Drosophila melanogaster: one gene and its partners. The gene in region 2 interacts genetically with the main gene of each other region. Each region holds a gene or a part of one and is shown on either strand. Other genes may lie near its edges.

Region 1 (4,515 bases), on a different chromosome or scaffold from region 2:
CCCCGAGATGAACCTGTTGCTCTCATGTTCCGAGGACAGCACCATAAGGCTGTGGTCTCTGCTCACCTGGTCCTGCGTAGTCACCTACCGCGGGCACGTTTACCCGGTGTGGGATGTTCGCTTTGCGCCGCATGGCTACTATTTTGTTTCTTGTTCGTACGACAAAACTGCTCGTCTGTGGGCCACGGATTCCAATCAAGCGTTGCGCGTATTCGTGGGTCACTTGTCGGACGTGGATTGTGTACAATTTCATCCCAATTCCAATTATGTGGCCACCGGTTCTAGCGATCGCACGGTACGCCTGTGGGACAACATGACCGGTCAGTCGGTACGCCTGATGACGGGCCACAAGGGATCGGTGAGTTCTCTGGCCTTCTCCGCCTGCGGCCGGTATCTGGCCTCGGGTTCAGTAGATCACAATATCATCATCTGGGATCTGTCGAACGGATCCCTGGTCACCACCCTGTTGAGGCACACTAGCACTGTGACCACGATCACCTTTAGTCGCGATGGAACAGTCCTGGCTGCAGCCGGCTTGGATAACAATCTAACTCTGTGGGACTTTCACAAGGTTACCGAAGACTATATCAGCAATCACATCACTGTGTCGCACCATCAGGATGAGAACGACGAGGACGTCTACCTCATGCGTACTTTCCCCAGCAAGAACTCGCCATTTGTCAGCCTGCACTTTACGCGCCGAAATCTCCTGATGTGCGTGGGTCTATTCAAGAGTTAGGAGCACAGATAAGCTTATTTGGTATACGTAATGTAGTGTTAAGGAATGCTCGGAATGTTTAGGATTAATGTTTTGTATTTCGTTTGTGACCCATCCCCCCTGAAATGTCGATTAGTTGTTTAAGCATAAAAGTGTAAAGTGCATATATGCGCAAGTTATCAATAAATTTTAATTAATATAAAAGTCAATCATTAAGGTTCTTATATATAATTCATATTTATTTAAAAGTCATATAAAGCATATACACAGATAAATACGTAGCTGTACGATTTGCCTACTCTGCATCAGGGATTCCAAACGTTCGGCGCACGGCTATCGAGTTCTTGATGTTAAAGATCGCACAGCGCGGAGGCTTCTCTCCGCCGAAGGCCAGGGTGTAGGGATCCTCGGGGCACTGGCGCATGCACTGCAAGCGACCCATGTTGAACTCGTGCTCGTAGACGTGCTTTGCCTCTGTGCCATCAAAGTTCCACACCTTTAGGGTGCCCTCCGTGGAGGTGGAGGTCAGCAGATTAGGCTTCTGGTTGTTGAAGCACACACCGGAGATTTCCTCGTTGTGGGCCTTTACGGACCACAGCAGTTGTCCAGGAGAACGTTTGTCGGCGTAATGCAAGGTGCCATCGTTGGTGCCCACGATGAAGTAGTCGGTCTGTGTGGGATGCCACAGGACCTTCTCCACTTCACCGTCAACTTTCCACTCAATGCTGGACGAGTTGACGCCCTCAGCGTCGCGGCAATCGAAGAGTCGCACGTATCCATCGGCACAGCCGGTAAGAATGCTTTGAGCCTCTTGCGGATGGAATTCCAGCGACTGAATCTGTTTGCCAAAAGCGGTAATGGTTGTATGAGGCTGGCCCTCGTCCATGTCCCACAGAATCACAGTTTGGTCCACGGACCCGCTGGCCAGAATGTGCTCAAAGTTGGTGTTCCAAGAGAGATCCAGCACGGCGTCCTTGTGTCCATACTGCTCTTTGTTCTGCTTCCGGCTGCCTTTGGAACCCAGCTTAAATGTGGGCTCGATAGCGTCCTGTATGTCTAGATCCCAGACTGTGATTATCGGATCCATGCAGCCGATGGCGCACATGTTGCCCGCCTTTTCGCTGCCCGCGTCGTGATTCATCCACTCGATGCACAGAGGAAAGCTTGGCAGCAGAAAGTCGTGGTGGGTGTAGAGAGCCTCCTCCTCCTGGTTGAAAACCCACACCTCCATGGAGGCGGCGTCGTCTTGAACGTGACCCACTAGAATGAGGTTGTCGCTGGGCTTGATCACCTCGTCCTCGGCCTCGGAGTCTTCGTCCTCATCGGGGATTTGCTCGCCAGCGTCCACGATGTTGGCCAGACTGGTGACATTAGCATTCGCCTCGTTGTCATACTCCTGGAATTGGAACTCGTCCTGCGGATCGCGGTTCTCACTATTGGCATCCGCGTGGTCGTCCACATCCATGTCGTTTTGGTCTTCCTCGGCATTTTCGCCCTCCTCTGCATCGTCGTCGCTCTCCTCGTCCAATTCCTGTTGCGTATCACCGATAATCCTGGCCAGCTCCGCCTGCGTCAGCACGATCTTGTCGGGACGATCCTTAGCCACGCCGCGTGGTACAAAGCAAAGAGCTGGGACAAAATCAATGCTCGGCTCCGGTGGTCCTTCCTCAGCCATTATGATTATATTTTTCAACTTAGTTTGATACACCAAACGAATTGATAAACACGTGCAGTTCAAACAAGGCAGGTTGTGTGACCAGATCCTATTAATTACGCTGTTACTAATACCAAAGACACTAGAATAATAGAATATTCTAGTGTCTTTGCTAATACTTTAAACAAATACTGAAACATACGGCATCAAACGATTTTTATATTTTTAAAAACTGTTGCAAATTTATTCGTTTATTTGGAATTAATACTTCATTAAAAAAAAGTATATATATGATCGTTCCAATTTATTTCCCCAAACAGATTTTTGGCTTACATATTATTTTGATATCCCACTTATCAGTGATTTTCATTGTTAATGCAAGATGCAATCAAAGATTAAGATAAAGAGTCCCATAAACTGGAGCTTTTGCTACCGTCTGAGATACCAGAGATATCTACGATCTTTAATCTTAAAGTTGCCCTCAAGATGGATGCACGAAAGTTTTCTACCCACATATTGGTAACTTTGTTTCAATTTATTTATATGTATAAAATTTTTCGTTAACCTTTTACAGGATACTTCGGTGGGAAAGGCGGCAGCCAATGTGAGAGTAACAGTTTCCAGGCTGGACGAGATTCAGGAATGGAGATCCCTTCGGGCGGCCCAAACTGATGCGGATGGTCGCTGCCTGCTCTTGGAACCTGGTCAATTTCCCGGCGGGATCTATAAGCTGACCTTTCACGTGGGCGCCTATTACGCGGAGCGCAATGTGAGGACACTTTATCCAGCAATTGACTTGATTGTGGATTGCAGTGAGAATCAGAACTATCACATTCCTTTGTTACTCAATCCCTTTGGGTATTCCACATATCGTGGAACATAGCTCGGTTAAAACCGAATAATGGATGTTACACAACTTACAAAAATGTAATTGATTTGAATAAAGGTTTTTTAAATGTTTATTTGTAACATCTCGGGATCGCTTTACACTTCGTGCGATGTTCGTGCATGAGTAACCGTGTCATGAAATCAACTAACCTCACGCTCCCATCCCTATTCGCCAGTGCAGTATCTTGCCATCTCTAGCCAGCATTCGGTGTCGTTTGGTTCCGCTCAGTTTGTATTTAGCGCCTGTCGCGGGAGGTTCGTGCGTTCGGTGCGTTGTCGGTGTTTGGAATTGAATGTTTTTGAAACGGCGATCGGTGGTCGAGTCGTGTGCCGGTAATTTGTATACGAAAAAAAAACATATTTGAAAATGCAAGATCGTTGGCAAGTGCTCTCTGCAAAGTGAGTGAGTGATGGATGCTTGCGTCCTTCAGTTCTTTTCTGATTCATATCCTGCACCGAGGTGCAACAGTTGTTTCGTAGTTGGATTCTGAGTGGAAACAATATTTCCATAATAATATACATATGTGTGCGTGTTTTCAAAAAGAGGCAAACAAGAAGTGGGATTTGTTATTGGAAAGTACAAACAGCGCTCCCATAGACATACACTCGATGCGGCCGAGCCAGCAAATCCCCGACAAATCTTAAACCAGTTTTAAGATACATATTCTTGGTGTCAGTGTGTGCATGTTGATTTTTTCCGGCATTGTTTTCGTTTATTTTTTTTATACTCCGCGCTGCTGCTGGCTCTGCATCTTTTTTGTGTACCCATACCCTTTGCGCCTGCCCCTAATCGCGTTTCCATTTTCTGGCCATCGTCCAGATCCGAGGTTTTGCTTTTGGGCTCCGCGTGAGCAACAAGTACCCCCGCCTAGTACCTATACCTATACCTATACCCAGACCCCTGCCATCATCTATATCTGTACCCATACCAAGTGCCTGGCCGCGTCTCGCTCCGCCTGCCATCTGAAAACCCGAAAAACTCGGAAAGAAACGAGCTTAAATTCTAACGAGATCAGCACGCCAGTTGGTAACTCTGCTCTCCCCAATTGGTCCAATTTGAATGCGGTACGAAGCACCTCCAGAATCCGGCGAAGATCGCACAAGTAATTCCGAAAGGTGAGTGGCGGTGGCTTTAGGTGATCTCATCAGGAAGCTAGGAATAATCTGTTGTTTTGGAATATTATTCAATTGGGCGAACAAACCTGTTGTTTAAGATTCACCCCACTAAGAAACCATTCTGAAGTTATGAAATCCA
Region 2 (5,187 bases):
ATACAGCGTACTTGTGCGTTTGGGCGTTACTCTGCACCCACACGAAACGGAAGTGCGAACACTAGTTGAATGTGCAACACCCAAAGGATGGATGAATGTGCGGGCGGGCGGGGGGTCATGTGGCCGGTTGTAAACTAATCGGCCGCCCCACGACGTTGTAATTAGTATGCCACTTTTGGTAGGCGTTTTAGACTGACTCAGGCGTAAACTAAATTTTAATGCATCCCCAGGGATCTAACTAATCTCTACTGTTTTGCCATGCATCCAACGACCAGACCATTTTGTATTTCTTGTAAGACATTCGGACTTTAAGCTTCCAATATTGATGAAAATGGGGCATATGAAAAGTATATAAATTTGACTCACCGGAATCTGAGGGGGTCTCCAAATTGGGACCATCGTCCACCATATCGTTGCAGCGCGTGTAGCTGTGATCGGTGATGTGCATCATGTGCAGCATGCCGTTGCTGTTGTTCTTCAATTTGTTGTTTTTGTTGTTGCTGTTGTTGTTGTTGGTGGTGATGCTGGCATTGCTGCCGCTTTTGCTAGTGCGATGATGGCGCAGGTCAAAGTTGAGGGGTTCACCGTCATCGGAGTCACTATCAGAGCCGGTCGTCGGCGGAGAATCCACTGTGTTGCGTCCAGTGGCTATATCGATGGCCTGTTGTTGCTCGTCCAGTTGCTGTTGGTTCAACTGCTGTTGGCCACCCGTCGAATTGGAATGCTGGTTGAGCACATCGAGGACATCGTTGATCGGCGGGATGTAACGCACCGGCAACGGATCCTTGCCGGTATTCTGAAGCTCCCTGCTGATTTGCTTAATGTAGTTGACATCGCTATCATTGCCGGTCAGCGAGATATTATTGCTGCCCATCACGCAGGCACGCAAGTCGACGTTATGTCTAAACTCTGAGGCGGCCACCTCGTCGGTAAGACTGTGAGGTGTGTCTGGTCTCTGGTATTTTATGCTATCGCTGCCGCTCAATTCGCCCGATTTGCGGATAATGTCCTGGTTGTTCCGCTTGCGGAGCAAACTTCCGCCGGGCGGTATTAAATGGACCTCGTCCTGGATCTGTGACTTCTTGTCACCGCCGCTCAAACGGAGGCGCTTCTGACAGACCGTGTAGTCCAGATCTGCGAGCTCCTTCTTGATGATCACCGGCATGTTCTCGGCACTGTTGACGACATGCTGTTGATTTGACTGGGTGTTATCTGTCGTCTGCGATCGTTGATACGCGCTGTAGAGATTCGTAGAGCCGGAAACCATCGCCAGGGATACGGCACCGGTTTCGCTGTACGACGAGGCTGCACTGTTTCCGCTCTCTATTCCATTACCGTTACCGCTGGTCAAACAGCTGGACATCGCCGGCCACATGCAGTCGATGTTGCGGATCTCTGGCTTCATATCCTCCTCTAAGTCATAGTCTTGAAATACACTTTCCATGTCCTCGATCTTCTCGAGATCACTCTGAATGGTGGACGACGAAAGGAGTTTGTCCATATCGTACAGATCATTATCCATATCGAATATTGAAATATTTGAAAAAAGTTGGTCGTCCATTATGGAATACGGATCAGAGCGGTAAAGGGCCATTGCGATTATGTTGTCTGGGTTTTTTTTTCTTTCTATATATCTTAAGTTCCTGAGTTATATGCCTGTCTGAAAAATATAGATAAGGCGGAAATCGTTGTAGGTATGATTCTATATTTGAACTTAATTAAATAAATATGTCGGCAACACACTTTTTGAAAACTTCTTCAACATAAGGATTTTTGCAACATTTCAACTATAATGTAAGAGTAACTAAACTCCTAATATTATTATTGTATTAAGTCACGTTCTACTGTGCCAGATTTCACCTATAATGACGTCAGGCGATGTCGAGGGTTCAGCAAATGTTATCAAAAGCAAATTTAGCTTATAGCTTCATTTATACACTATTAACCATTTGAACCCGAAATCGTCAATCTTGGCGCTCTTGACAATAGCAAAAAAAAAAAAAAAATACATATACTAATGAAATAAACAAGGGCATAAAAGGAAAACCAAATATCAAATACCCAATTCCAGTTACTGAAAAATAAACGGTCCTTTTACCGATAAACGCAGACCTGCAAAGCTTACTGTGCTTTTCCCTTTTCGTAGAATCCGTTGCATTCCGGTAAACAAGTACGAGCAAAAACTAACAGTACATGTCTTTCGCAGAATCGAACGCAACCCGGTATATATTGAATTTCAGAATCATAGTAAAATTGGAATATCAACATTTATTAAATTATTATTTAAATCTTTTTAAATTTATTAAGCTAATTTATTTCTTTTTTAATTTATCAAGCTAATTTATTTCTTTTTTAATTTATCAAGCTAATTTATTTCTTTTTTTAATTAATTGATTTATTTCTCCTTTAAAAAGTTTAATACTTTCGTAAAAATTTTGGGACCATTTTATTTAATTACTTTGGAGCCCCAGAGTTCTGGAATTTTCGAACATTACCAACTCGTTTCAACGCCATCAAAGCGTTTTTAATACTTGCCAGCATTAAGAAGAATTTCACAAAACAATAAAGAACTTTGTAGAATTTTGTTTTGCAAAATTCGTCCACTTCCACTTTTCTATTGTCTCACTTTTTGTTCTTAATTTCTTGTAAGCACTTGATTCTTAACATTCCTTCTGAGTTCCTAGAATCCGTTATTTCGTATCGATTTGTGCGGCCATGATCACTGATTTGTCATTGTGTGTGAGAGCACCGTTAAAAGTTAAGCTATTTCACCTTTCCCAGAAATTCTATTTTGAATTCCCCGTAGTGGCGCGATTTTTGAAGTCGTTGCGTTCCGATAAATAATATATATTATATATATATATCTTTGCACTCACCTCGCTGAACATAGTTTCCGTATCCGTCTCTATTTAATTGATTGTAATCCAATTTAGTTAGCTTCCTTTGCTTTCCAGTCGCTTTCGGCTATATCTATTTCTATCCCGTTCCCGTGCCGCCAGCAAGTTGGGCACTTTTTTTTTTGCGTCAAAGAAGGGGAAAGACGGAGAAAAAACACCAAAAAAAGGGACACAAAAAAAAATTCTTCCCGTTTATTTTGCACTAGCTGATTTTTTTTAAAAAATCTTTTTTTAATTCTAGTTTTTCACAAGTTTTTGTTTCTGCTTTGGAGAAGATTTTTTTTTATGTATTTGCGCGGTTTTAAGTCGGCTCTTAGGTTATTTCTGGGATTTAGCACTTTTGTAACTTGGCTGTGACAGTTGTTAGTAGTAGTTGTATATTTTAAAACGTGTTGCTTCAGGTTTTACTACAGAACTATTTATATAGCGTTTGGTTTTTTTTTTTTGTATCGGGCGGAAAACAGGCAAAAATCCAATCCACAAAGCGATTCTCTGAATTACCCGCGGTGAACTGAACACGCGACGCCACAGAAATAGTGCCCGTTTCATGTTGTCTGTGGCTTAAATAAAATTTCTATCGTACCAGACTGCCGCGCTCTCTGCGCTCTCACTGCGCATGCTCACTGCTGCTCTCTTTGCTGGAATTCGCTTTAAGTGGTGAGAATAGGAGCTTCAACAAAAATCTTCTTTGACATTTGGATCACATTTAGATCACATTTGGATTCATCACGATTTGTTAATACTCGAAGGTTTTCAAATAGTACGCAATGCATTTAAAATGATCAATGTTTCTTTGCCTCTCCCGCACACTGGTTCACATAACAGCATCAGTTTGCCGGTATTTTTTTTTTGAGTGAAAGAGAGTGAGATTTTTGAGTGGTGTTTACAATAATTGAGCGCAAACAAAATTGAGACAAATCGCAAATTGCTCCGTAAATAAAAACATAAACAATTAACTTGAACTGGCTCAAAATGTTTTTGTGAAATAAATGCAATACGAAAATGTGTAGTTGACTGGAAATCAAAACAAAATTTTATTCATTTCCTTAATTTACTTACGGTATGTATATTAAAATATAGAAATTAAATTTATAAATATACGCATTTATTTATGTTAATGTTAATCGACATAAAACTACAGGTTTCAATTGCTTTTCTGTGGCATTATTTGGGATTCTTCATTGCCGCATAAATGTTTCCTATTTTTAAATCGATTTATTTTAAGCTCTATTCCTTTTTGCGTAGAAGTTGCGAGAAGTTGTTCATTCCCTCTTGCTTTGGCGCCTTACATTTCTTTCGTATTTCCTTCTTGCCCTTTCCTTTATCTATGCATGCATTTACCGTACTTTTTTTTATGTGCGTGTGTGCCTTTGTCACCTCTTTGTCTGCCACGCAACTTCATTTTCCGTTTTGTCAAGTTGATTGAACTTGTGAACTTTGTAAACAATGCAGAATTCATTTAACAATAATAGAAAAGTTAGGCCGCATGGTAGAAACAAAAGAAGAGCCAAACATTTTGTTAACGAATTAAACGATGCCAAGGAAATGTAAAAAGAAAGGGAAAAGAATAGAAACCAGCCAAAAATATTACAACTTTGGAAAGAAGAAGTTGTGGAAGAAGTAGAAAAGGGTAATAAGGTAAAGGCGGATAGGAAGCAAGGGGACCTTGAATGAAAAATAGAATATAACATGCACAAGCATACGTCTCTACATACATACATACATATGTATGTATGCACATTCCAACAAACTTCTTAATAACTGTTTGTAAAATACAATGTACATAGTATGTGTACTACATACAAATAATGATTTGTGCATGTGTACATATGTTTATCGCACAAATATGTACATATGTACACATATATCAACCTTTAAAAATCGACTTGAAAGGACCTGCATTTTGAATTTTGCCCCTTTTAGAGAGTATTAAATCATCAGGTGGTTCCGACGCAAAGTTCCTCCCGCTTTCTACACCCCGTCGATTTTGTTACGTTTCGCTTTGATTTTCATTTCCACAACTTTTAGTGCACAACATAGCGCTTTTGGCGCGTGCATCTGCCCTCTCTTTCACACGCTTTGTTTTGATTTCGCAACGAGGCGAACCAGCAAAAAAAAAATGCACGCTGCACACTCGCCCAACTACTCTGCAATTTGCACATTTAATTAATTGTTTGTACAAGCGACATATTAAAAAAAAAAAAAAATTGTTTAATTCTTCTGTCAATGGAAATCACAAACAGCCCAATAAAATTCACCTTCCAACATTCCGCTTTAGTATCCATAAGCA
Region 3 (5,569 bases), on a different chromosome or scaffold from region 2:
TTCACTGGCTGCTGCGCTTGAAATCGAGGCCTTCAAAAGCGAGTAAAGTACGCGTATCTCCAGCTGAATCCCTTTAGATATTTGTTTGTTATCCTTGTATCCAGATATATATTTGTATTCAGCACAAGCCCAGTCCAGTTTGGCCAGTTAACACGCTGGCAGAGAGAAGAGGGATGAGGATGAGGATGAGCTGGCGGAGTCACCACAAACATTTCAATATTATGTAATCATAAATTATGTATCTAATTGTATGTAATATGTATATCTCCATATATGCTCACTCTGATTAGCTCCACATATGTATGTTTGTATATAAATACGCAATTATCGAGTTGAACACTGAAAAGAAAGCACGTTTCGCAAGTAATGGCTAAATTGTAAAGACTACCACGTATGGAAATTAAAAACTAAATATACCATGTAATAAAGGATAATTGAATTCAAGCAGTAAGCAACTACGGTTAACATTTTCATTGTACCATCGGCATATCCACGATATCCTTTGCCATTTCCGGTGCAGCCTTGGAAAGGATGAAACGCAGATGTGGAGCCACGTATTTATGTATGCATGAGCCTTTGTACAATGTCCTAGAGATTCGATTAAACTCCCGCCCCTAAGATATAATTTTATAACTGAAATTATTTACTAAACCAAAATAAAAACAAATGAGAAGAACTCTAACTTTAAAAGCATGCGAAACAATGAATGTAGGAAATCAAAAGTGAAATAAAGAGTTAAGACAAAAACGTAGTGGTTACACATCATTTGACCAGCATTGGTTTTGTCCACTGGATGAAGGGAGAGTGGGTGGATTCGTGGTTAATGAGTAGGCGATAGATCTGATTTATTCTTCCCAAAGACACAACGCGTCTGTGAACAAGACGGACACACTGAGCTTAACCTAAGTATCTATAACGACAAACTAACTATATGGGTTTTTCTTTAGCTGGGGAGAATTCTAAAAATAAATAGAATTAATATAATAATTTAGTTCGATTAAATGTTCGGCCTTATGCAGGGCTCCTCGGAATCACTGCATCATTTGTCCCACAGCCCCAGCTCGCGCATCTTGGTCTGGAAGTAGCGCTCCAGGGAGTTGGCACACCGATAATACTCGGTGTCGGGCGAATTGTAGAACCGACAGTTGGAGAAAATGCGCGCCATGTCCGCCATGAACAGGCGGCGCGTTTGGTAGTAACCCTTCTTCAGGCGCTCGCCCATGGTCTTCAGGTCCATGGGATATTTAATGTGATCGTAGTAGTCCGGAACTTCGGCCGCGGTCACCGGGCGCAGGAAGGGCCAGGCGGTGGTGTGCTGGCGCACGGATTGCAGCACGGATGCAAAGGACGTGGCCAGCTTCTCCGGATCGGTGGATTCCTCGAGGGGTCGCGATGAGCGCGCCGGACGATTTTGCGGCTTCCAACCGATCTCCCGCAGACCAGGAATCGATTCCACGGGAATCACGGGCAGGCCCTCCTTGAAGCAAGTCAAGCCGGGTCTTACTTTCTGCACCTCGTTGTGGCGCTGTGCGATCAGCTCCTTCAGAATCTCGCTCTGACTGCGAATTACTGAAAGGAAGAATTGGAGTGTAAAATGGGACCATGGATTCCTTGTCCATTCTTTGACTAACCAGCTATGAACTGCGTGTTCACAATGCTTGGATGCAGCTCGCAGTGCATGAGAGTAGCACTATCGTACTCCTTGATGTAGCCCGCATAAACTGGTCGCGCCAATTTGATGTCCTTGGAGAAACCCTGCTTCTTGAAGTACCCGATGGCATCGCAATCGGCGAATGTGAGCAGATGCTTGATACCCCTCTGTATGCTGTAGTCCTTCAAGTGGTTCATCAAGTGCGTGCCATAGCCCTTAACTTGTTCCGACATGGTGACCGCGCAGAAAACGATCTCGGTGAAGCCTTGCGACGGAAACGGGCGGAAACAGATGCCGCCGATGGGTTGGTTTTCCTTGATGAGCGCCAGTGTTTTGTGCTTGGTGTCGAAAACCAACTGGCTGATGTACTCGCGCGGCATCTCGGGTAGCTGATAGGCAAATACGAGCTGCAGGCCCAGTAGCCACAAAACAGTCTGCTTGTCCACCGGTTTGGTCAGCGAATTGCCCACCACATGGAACTCAATGGCTCGCTTCTGCTCCTCCGCCTTGACGTTCTCATCCCGCGACACATTAACCGGAAAGAGAATTTCCGCTTTGTTGGTGGTCTTCGACTCGGACACCGATTTCATGGCGCGCATTACTACATCCGCAGGCAGGTCATCCAAATTCTCACTGCGGCAGGACGATTAGTAAATGTATTGAAAGAAGAAAAAACTGATTACCAACCTGCTTGGACGATCGGTGGGCTCCTTTTTGATTCGCTTGTGGAGCGGTTCACCCACACTGGTCCTCTTGTTTCCACCAATGCTTGCTGCACTGGGACCAATGGGTACATTTGCCACCTCCTGGTTACGCTTTCTCTGCTGGATGACAAAGGAATTTGACGGGCGGTAGCTGGTATCCCAGATGGGCGAATCATCCTTGAGCAATTCGGCGCGAAGCGTTTCCAAAAACTTCGGCATCAGCGTGATGATCGAACGCTTGTCCTCGGGAAAGCGATCCCGCTCGGAGATGCACTTCTTTTTCAGCTGCTGCGACATGCACTGGAAAACGGTGCGCAGGAGCGTTCGTCCAAACACTAGGGACGTTTCACATTGGCGCAGGGAGTTACAGAAGGCGGGCACGTGGCAGAACACCAACCACCTGGTGTAGTTGATTTTGTAGTTAGAGGCATCCTCGTGGGTGAGATCTCCTCTCCTGGTCGACGGCGATTCAAAGTTGTAGTGGTTCAGAAAGTTCAAGAACGTCTTGGCCACCTCGGTCATGGTTTGGAGTTCAGGCGTGCTCAGGTGATTGTACTTGTAGAAGACCAACGAGAGCACAGCCTTGGTGATGCACGGCGTCTCGAATGGTGGATCGCCGAGAGGACCCCGGATGACCGCCTGCTGGCGCGTGAGGACGCACTGGCGCAGCAAACGGAAGAGGTACTGGTACACCTTCTTGGTGTCCTCGTCCTCGACGCGCTGCATGGACATGAATAGGTTCTCCATGTCTATAATGGCGCCCAGTAGCTCGTTCATGCTGGAACTGGATATATTGTCCAGATGGGCTATGTGCGATCTCAGCGAATGGCGACAGCTGGTGTTGCGGCACTCCTCGTTGAACTCCGGACAGTAGGAGGACTCGACGTCACGGTGGCGATTTTCCTGCGGTGTCTTCCAGCCGGTGCAACGGCATCCCTCAGACTGGCAGGCGGAATACATCGACAATTTGGCCAGTTTCTGTGGCACGGGCAGATTGAAGACCTTTTGCTTTCGCTGCTGAATGCGCTGTAGGCTGTTCTGGCGCGTTCCCTCTGCCGGCACACTGCCAGCGCCGGACGCAGCTCCTCCGTGTCCTGGATTCTGGGCGCTGCCAGCGGCTCCAGATGCACCAGCGGTTGCTGCGCCATTCGCTGCCTGCTGCTGCTGTTGCGCCGCAGCGTTGCCCGTGTTGTTACCATCGATTGGTTGGCTTTTTATCGTTATGGATGGACCACCAGACATTCCAAGATCGGCAGATATTGCGATTCTCTTCGTTAGTTTTGAACAAAGTGTACTTTTCCTTAAATTTCACAAGCGATACAACGAGTTTGCCCACTTGCTGTGCGCAATGATGGTGCTGCCAACCTGGCGTTTTGTGCAAATGAATTTCTCTCGGTGGTGAAATAATGGTTGAATATATATATTCTATTAACGATTTTACGTTTGTCCATATAGTGTATACTCGTATTATCTGGTGACAATGTTTTTAGACTTTGAATTTAATAAGTAAAAATTAGCAGGGGCGTAGTCAAAACAACTGAAAATTTGTAAGGGGGTTAAAAAGAAAATATTGCGCGGTTCTGCAAATTAATGTGACCCTGGTTTTAACTTATAATACAATTGTGTGAAAATTGCTCACAAAATTAATTTTAATTAATATTATTTGTAAGAAAATACGAAGTCTACGCCCATGCTCACAACTGTTTTTTTTTTTGGCGCTAATGCAAAATGCACTGCAATAAAGAAATCCCCTTTGAAATCGCAGACTAAGCAAATAGAATGGATTTTAATCAGAGTTTCGAGGACATAGAAAGCCAGCTGGATAACTTCGTGATACGCAAGAATCAACAGAGTGAAAAGTCCACGGGCAAATGTGGTCCGGAGGTCCACGACAACGTGCCGCTGACCATATCCCAGATTGAGCGCGCAACTCAGGATCCGGAGAACGAGAATGTGTTCATCACAGACGACGTGCATCCGATTCACTTCTGCACCTGCATCATCTACGCCTTTGTAACTGGCAATGGAACGCACAACGAGTCGTTCATGAAGTTCATGATCGATGATGGCACCGGCTCCCTGGAGGCCAGCATCACCAAAAAACCCTTCAATGGACGCGTGATCAGCAGCCTGTACAGTGAAGCCAGTTCGCTGGCCTCGTCCGAGGCCTACAAGAGCATTGCCGTGAGCATGATGCGGCTGCTGCAGGTCTCCATGGAGTACATTGATCCCACGCGCATCTCGAGGGGCCACAGCCTATTCCTGCGCGGTCGTCCGAATAGGTTCCGCGGCAAGATGGGTCTGGACGCTTTTCAGTTCTTCATAGACAGCGGCCGATCGCGGAATATGGAAATTGGCTTCGTAGACTACCTAACCGACTGGCAACGAAGGCATAAAACAATGCAGAATACAACAAATAAATAGTATCGTTGGTTTTTTGTATTGAAATTTTACTGGTAATAAAAATTCAAAAAGTTTTAAATAAGGAGAATTTAGGTTGTTTTTGCTCGTATGGCGGCACGTTTGCCGGTGACAGCCTGGAAACCTGACTTAATGCTGGCCACCGAGCAGCGGGAGCCACAGGATTCGCACTGCAGGAAGAAGAGACGCGTGTCCTTCTGCAATATCGTTTCCGGGGAGCGGCAGGTGTGACAGGTGACGTACTCCTTGATGTAGCGACGCAGCACATTCTCGATCTGTTTGGGCTGGAAACGGCCCTTGATGATCAGCTGCTGGTTGCCGTCCATGGAGCCACTGGTACCCAACTCGGCCAGCAGGAAATCGAGCAGATGCTTGGGCAGGCGATGCAGCGTTTTCGCAATGTCCATGAAGTTGGCAAAGGAGGTCTTCTTGGTTCCCACGCGCAGCACCTGCGGCGGTCGCATCACGAACTTTGGCTTTCGGCCGGCGGCCATGTCCGGATTCTTGTCGAGAATGATTTCGAAGACCCGCTTCAGCAACTCGTCGTATGTGTAATCGCGGTCGGAGCCAAACCAGGTTGAGCTGTTGTCCTCGTCTGTAAACGGATGAAAACGTTATTTAAAAGGGTATGGTATAAGCTTATTTGCTAAGTGAGAGCTTTGAAATCTGGAGTCTATTTAAAGTTGGAACAGCTACATGCTAACTCACTGGCTAAGCATTTCTAGTTCACTTCATACACTGAGTTTTAATGCTTCGGAAAAGGCGAAAGCCAAGTTATACACTTTAAGAATCG
Region 4 (3,426 bases), on a different chromosome or scaffold from region 2:
AATCAACTAATTAAAGTTGAGGCCGACAGATGTGAGTGATTTTTTGCCAAATGTTCCCAGCTAAAAGGTCAATGTCGGATCTAATGAGGAATGGCTGACGTTCGTCTTAAATTGCCGAAAAAGCTTAAAGCTTGGCGATTATCTCTGGACTTTGTCGTCCATAAATTCTTTAAGGTCTTATCTCAGCAGGCACATTTTCTTAGCTTAAATATTTCTGTTTGTTATCTCGTTTTGTTGAGGCAAAACATTTCGTCCCAGATTAAGATGATGCGTTGAAAGCAAAACATTTCAAGCAAATTATAATTAAAGTTGAAAACTCTTTTTGCCAGCTTAAAGAAAATCGCCAGGCAAGCGAAAGGCATAGTTTTGTTTGTGTGCAAAATTTCCACCCAACTTGCTGCGATTTAAATCAAAATTTGATTTTCCTTCCGCTCAAAGGAGCATATTTTCGTATGGAAAAAAATAAACATTGTTATAATAGAATTTGGATATATCAAAGTGTGTTTAAAATTGTTCATATTGTTCTTTTGCTAACCATTTAGTGTATCTGTTCACTTTTAAAGGCTAAAATTATTATCGAAATATTTATAATATTTAATGTTTGAAGAAATTAAAAAGCGATGTTTCGAATTGCGCTTATTTATTGTAGTTTCAAGTTTCAAAGCCGTGCATATAGTTTATACTTAATACTTTTACGTAACATGTCTCATATATGTATGTATGTAAACTGATGGACCAGGTATCGCAGCATTTTTAGGAGTCGCAGTATGCCCTCAACGTGGAAAAGGAACACGATTTGCGGCAACAGGAGTCGACAACGCCGCGAAAATCGCGCCGAATGCTCGACAGTGAGTTCATGTGGTGAGATTCGGAGCTATCCAAATCCGCCAAGTGGTCCTCATAATCGAATAGGCCCACTGCAAGTAAAATAAGTGAGTTCGTGCCGTTTGGAAACCCCAAACCCCAAAAAAACGCAGCCGATACTCACAGGTGCCTCGTTTGGCGAACATTGAATTGAATCCATTGGGACAGGCAACCCTCAGCATGTCCATCAAGGCGGGGCCACAAGCCCGCAGCGAGTTTGCGGCCTGGGCGGATAGCAGGAGCGGGATCAGGAACAGGAGAACTGGGATCACGGAGCGGAACATCATTGCCTTGCTGGAACTGCTGCTGGATAGGATGTGGTGCAGTTTCCGCCGCTGTCAGCCATTTTTATATCCGCCGGCGCACTTTCACCTGTCAGATTGGATTAGTCTTTTGGGGTCAGCGTGGGCAGGAGCGTACTTGCTAATTTTCAATGTCAGGACATCGCAGGGTGCTATCATTAATTTATGCCCATGGATTAGCGTAACTTTCGCTTAATCGGATGCACCAAGGGGGTGGCGGAATCTATATATAATAGCTGAAATCAAAATGTATAACGATATATATGGTCTTTAGTTAGAAGGGCTTTCATTTTCAATATGTTTAATTGGCTTATCGTGCAAATAGTGCATACGATCATAAGTTTGTATTTCATGAAATATTTAAGTAATGTACTTATTGTATATCTAAGAAAGTAAAGTCGTATATTACATTTTTGCCTGTTCACATGTATAATTCTATAACATATACCAAAAGAACGCATGACAATCGAATACATGCCTGCGAGGAGAGCATATTTAAAAATAAATTTAAATTTGGCGCTAACTGCTTGCAAGCAGTCGAAGCAGTGCGCCAAACACACAAGCAGTATATACCGCGAAATTTAAAATTTTACCTCATACAATATACGATGTGCATTGATTCTTACTAATTGTATTGTATTTTTACGTTATTTTTAGGATTGAAGTCGACGATCAAATAACGAAGCCCCTGAACTTGGCCAACTCGGCCGTTCTGCGCGCCGTCGAAGAGGAAGAACAACAAGCCAAATGTGGTAAGATATACCTCTCTTTTTTGGATATTTGTCTATGCGCGTTTATTTTATGTTGCCTAGACAAAAAGAAACAGTGTAGAAACATACAACAAAACAGCAAACTCCAGTCCCAGTGCTCGTCCAATATTAGTGTTTTTTACAGATAAATTTAAATAAATTCAGGGGACTTCCCCCACAAAGATTTTTACCCCACTGAAAGGCAGAGTCGCCCGCGTCAACGAGGCGAGGTGGATGCACTGCATCACACGCTGCACCAGCAGCTTCTGAACCAGATCAAAACAGACTATCTCAGTCATCAGCAGGACATCACTATCGATCGGGACACGGTGCTGAAAATCAACCGTCTGGCCACCAAGAGGCATCTGCTCAAACGGGATCACAGCTGGCCTCCAGCTGAGCAGGATCAACCAACTATCAATCCCGAACAGAGCCATCAGATCTCCTGCAGCCCATCGCACAGTATTGAGGCTCTGAGGGAGAAGTTCCAGAGTCCCACCCTGGTTATCGAACCCACTGCCAATGAAGTGAGAGAGCAGCGACGACGCGATGGTGGCTCCAAAGAGAGATCAAAAACGCTCCAAAAGCACACCAAAGAACCTGACCTGGCGGAAGTTTTCCATCAAACTCCCATATCCAAGGGATTCTCCGCTCCAGAGACCAAGGCAGCCGATGTGGATTTGGGTTTGGTGGCTCCGCGATGTGAGTACTACGAGCAATTGGCCCACAAAAGGTCCGCCACACCAACTCTGCCCACTCAAATCACTCCATATAGGCCAAGATACAAGAGACAGGCTCATTCCCTGGATCGTAGCCGCTCCCGGAAACGTACAGTGGGTGCTCCGGAATTGCCGCCACCTAAGCCGAGAACTTCAAAGCCAAAAGTCCAACGGCGGTGCATAAAACTGGCCACTGAGGTAAAGATCTCATATGGCCACGACGGCGACAGCGAGGATGATCCCAATTCTGGTCAAGATGTGGATTTGGAGACCTTGCCGCTGCCACCGACACCGGTGTCGCCAGCTGCCGCAAATCTCAATCAAGCGAAGACAGCAGGGCGAATGGTAATTGACAACGTGGCAGTTAAACAGCAGCAGCAGATGGCTTTGGCTTTGGCCACAAATGGGAGCATCAGTCCGGTGAATCCGAGTCCAAGTCCGTTGGCCAACACTCGCATTGTGCCCATTCGCGTGGAGGCATCGGCGGACCAGCTCAAGCTGAGTGCCCAGCAGATCTACGACGACGCCTGTTCGTATCTGCAGGATCACCAGGAGATGGAGGACATCCAGCCGCGAACCGAGAGTCCCACCTATGTGAGTGCCACCGGTGGGATTAAGTTGCTCCAACGGCAGTCGAGCAGTACGCCAAGCACTCCAGTTCCACCACCCTTGCCATCGCCGATAATGCGTTCCAAGTCTGGTCAGGATTCGCAGGCTAAGGAAAATCAGACGAAAAGACAGGGACGCATCTACAGTCTGGAGACCGCAACGGAGAAGCAGCATGAGGCACAT

The links.
Region 1: of Myc (region 2) and nclb, changing one suppresses a phenotype caused by changing the other (phenotypic suppression), as found in Drosophila melanogaster (one study listed by BioGRID).
Region 3: of Myc (region 2) and Gcn5, changing one suppresses a phenotype caused by changing the other (phenotypic suppression), as found in Drosophila melanogaster (2 studies listed by BioGRID).
Region 4: of Myc (region 2) and Ilp5, changing one suppresses a phenotype caused by changing the other (phenotypic suppression), as found in Drosophila melanogaster (one study listed by BioGRID).

What each region holds. Positions count from the first base shown.
Region 1 is NT_033778.4:10,873,715-10,878,229, reverse strand, and holds nclb (no child left behind), read right to left. Parts: upstream 2,483-4,515; 5' UTR 2,394-2,482; coding exon 1,014-2,393; 3' UTR 934-1,013; downstream 1-933. Other genes in the region: Taf5 (TBP-associated factor 5), read left to right, coding at 1-739; CG30016 (uncharacterized protein), read left to right, coding at 2,859-2,891, 2,947-3,255. UniProt on the Drosophila melanogaster protein: Chromatin-associated factor that regulates transcription. Regulates Pol I-mediated rRNA biogenesis and, probably, Pol III-mediated transcription. Regulates the localization to the nucleolus of Cdk7, a regulator of the Pol I-elongation factor TFIIH.
Region 2 is NC_004354.4:3,371,413-3,376,599, reverse strand, and holds the start of Myc (Myc), read right to left. Parts: upstream 3,442-5,187; 5' UTR 2,877-3,441; intron 1,661-2,876; exon of another isoform or gene 1,657-1,660; 5' UTR 1,595-1,656; coding exon 367-1,594; intron 1-366. UniProt on the Drosophila melanogaster protein: Participates in the regulation of gene transcription. Binds DNA in a non-specific manner, yet also specifically recognizes the core sequence CAC[GA]TG. Seems to activate the transcription of growth-related genes; required for cellular proliferation and growth.
Region 3 is NT_037436.4:12,520,307-12,525,875, forward strand, and holds Gcn5 (Gcn5 acetyltransferase), read right to left. Parts: upstream 3,709-5,569; 5' UTR 3,598-3,708; coding exon 2,339-3,597; intron 2,285-2,338; coding exon 1,632-2,284; intron 1,570-1,631; coding exon 1,040-1,569; 3' UTR 823-1,039; downstream 1-822. Other genes in the region: ver (verrocchio), read left to right, coding at 4,135-4,779; eIF2beta (eukaryotic translation initiation factor 2 subunit beta), read right to left, coding at 4,848-5,371.
Region 4 is NT_037436.4:9,822,723-9,826,148, forward strand, and holds Ilp5 (Insulin-like peptide 5), read right to left. Parts: upstream 1,176-3,426; 5' UTR 1,152-1,175; coding exon 989-1,151; intron 918-988; coding exon 754-917; 3' UTR 627-753; downstream 1-626. Other genes in the region: CG43897 (uncharacterized protein), read left to right, coding at 1,824-1,918, 2,081-3,426.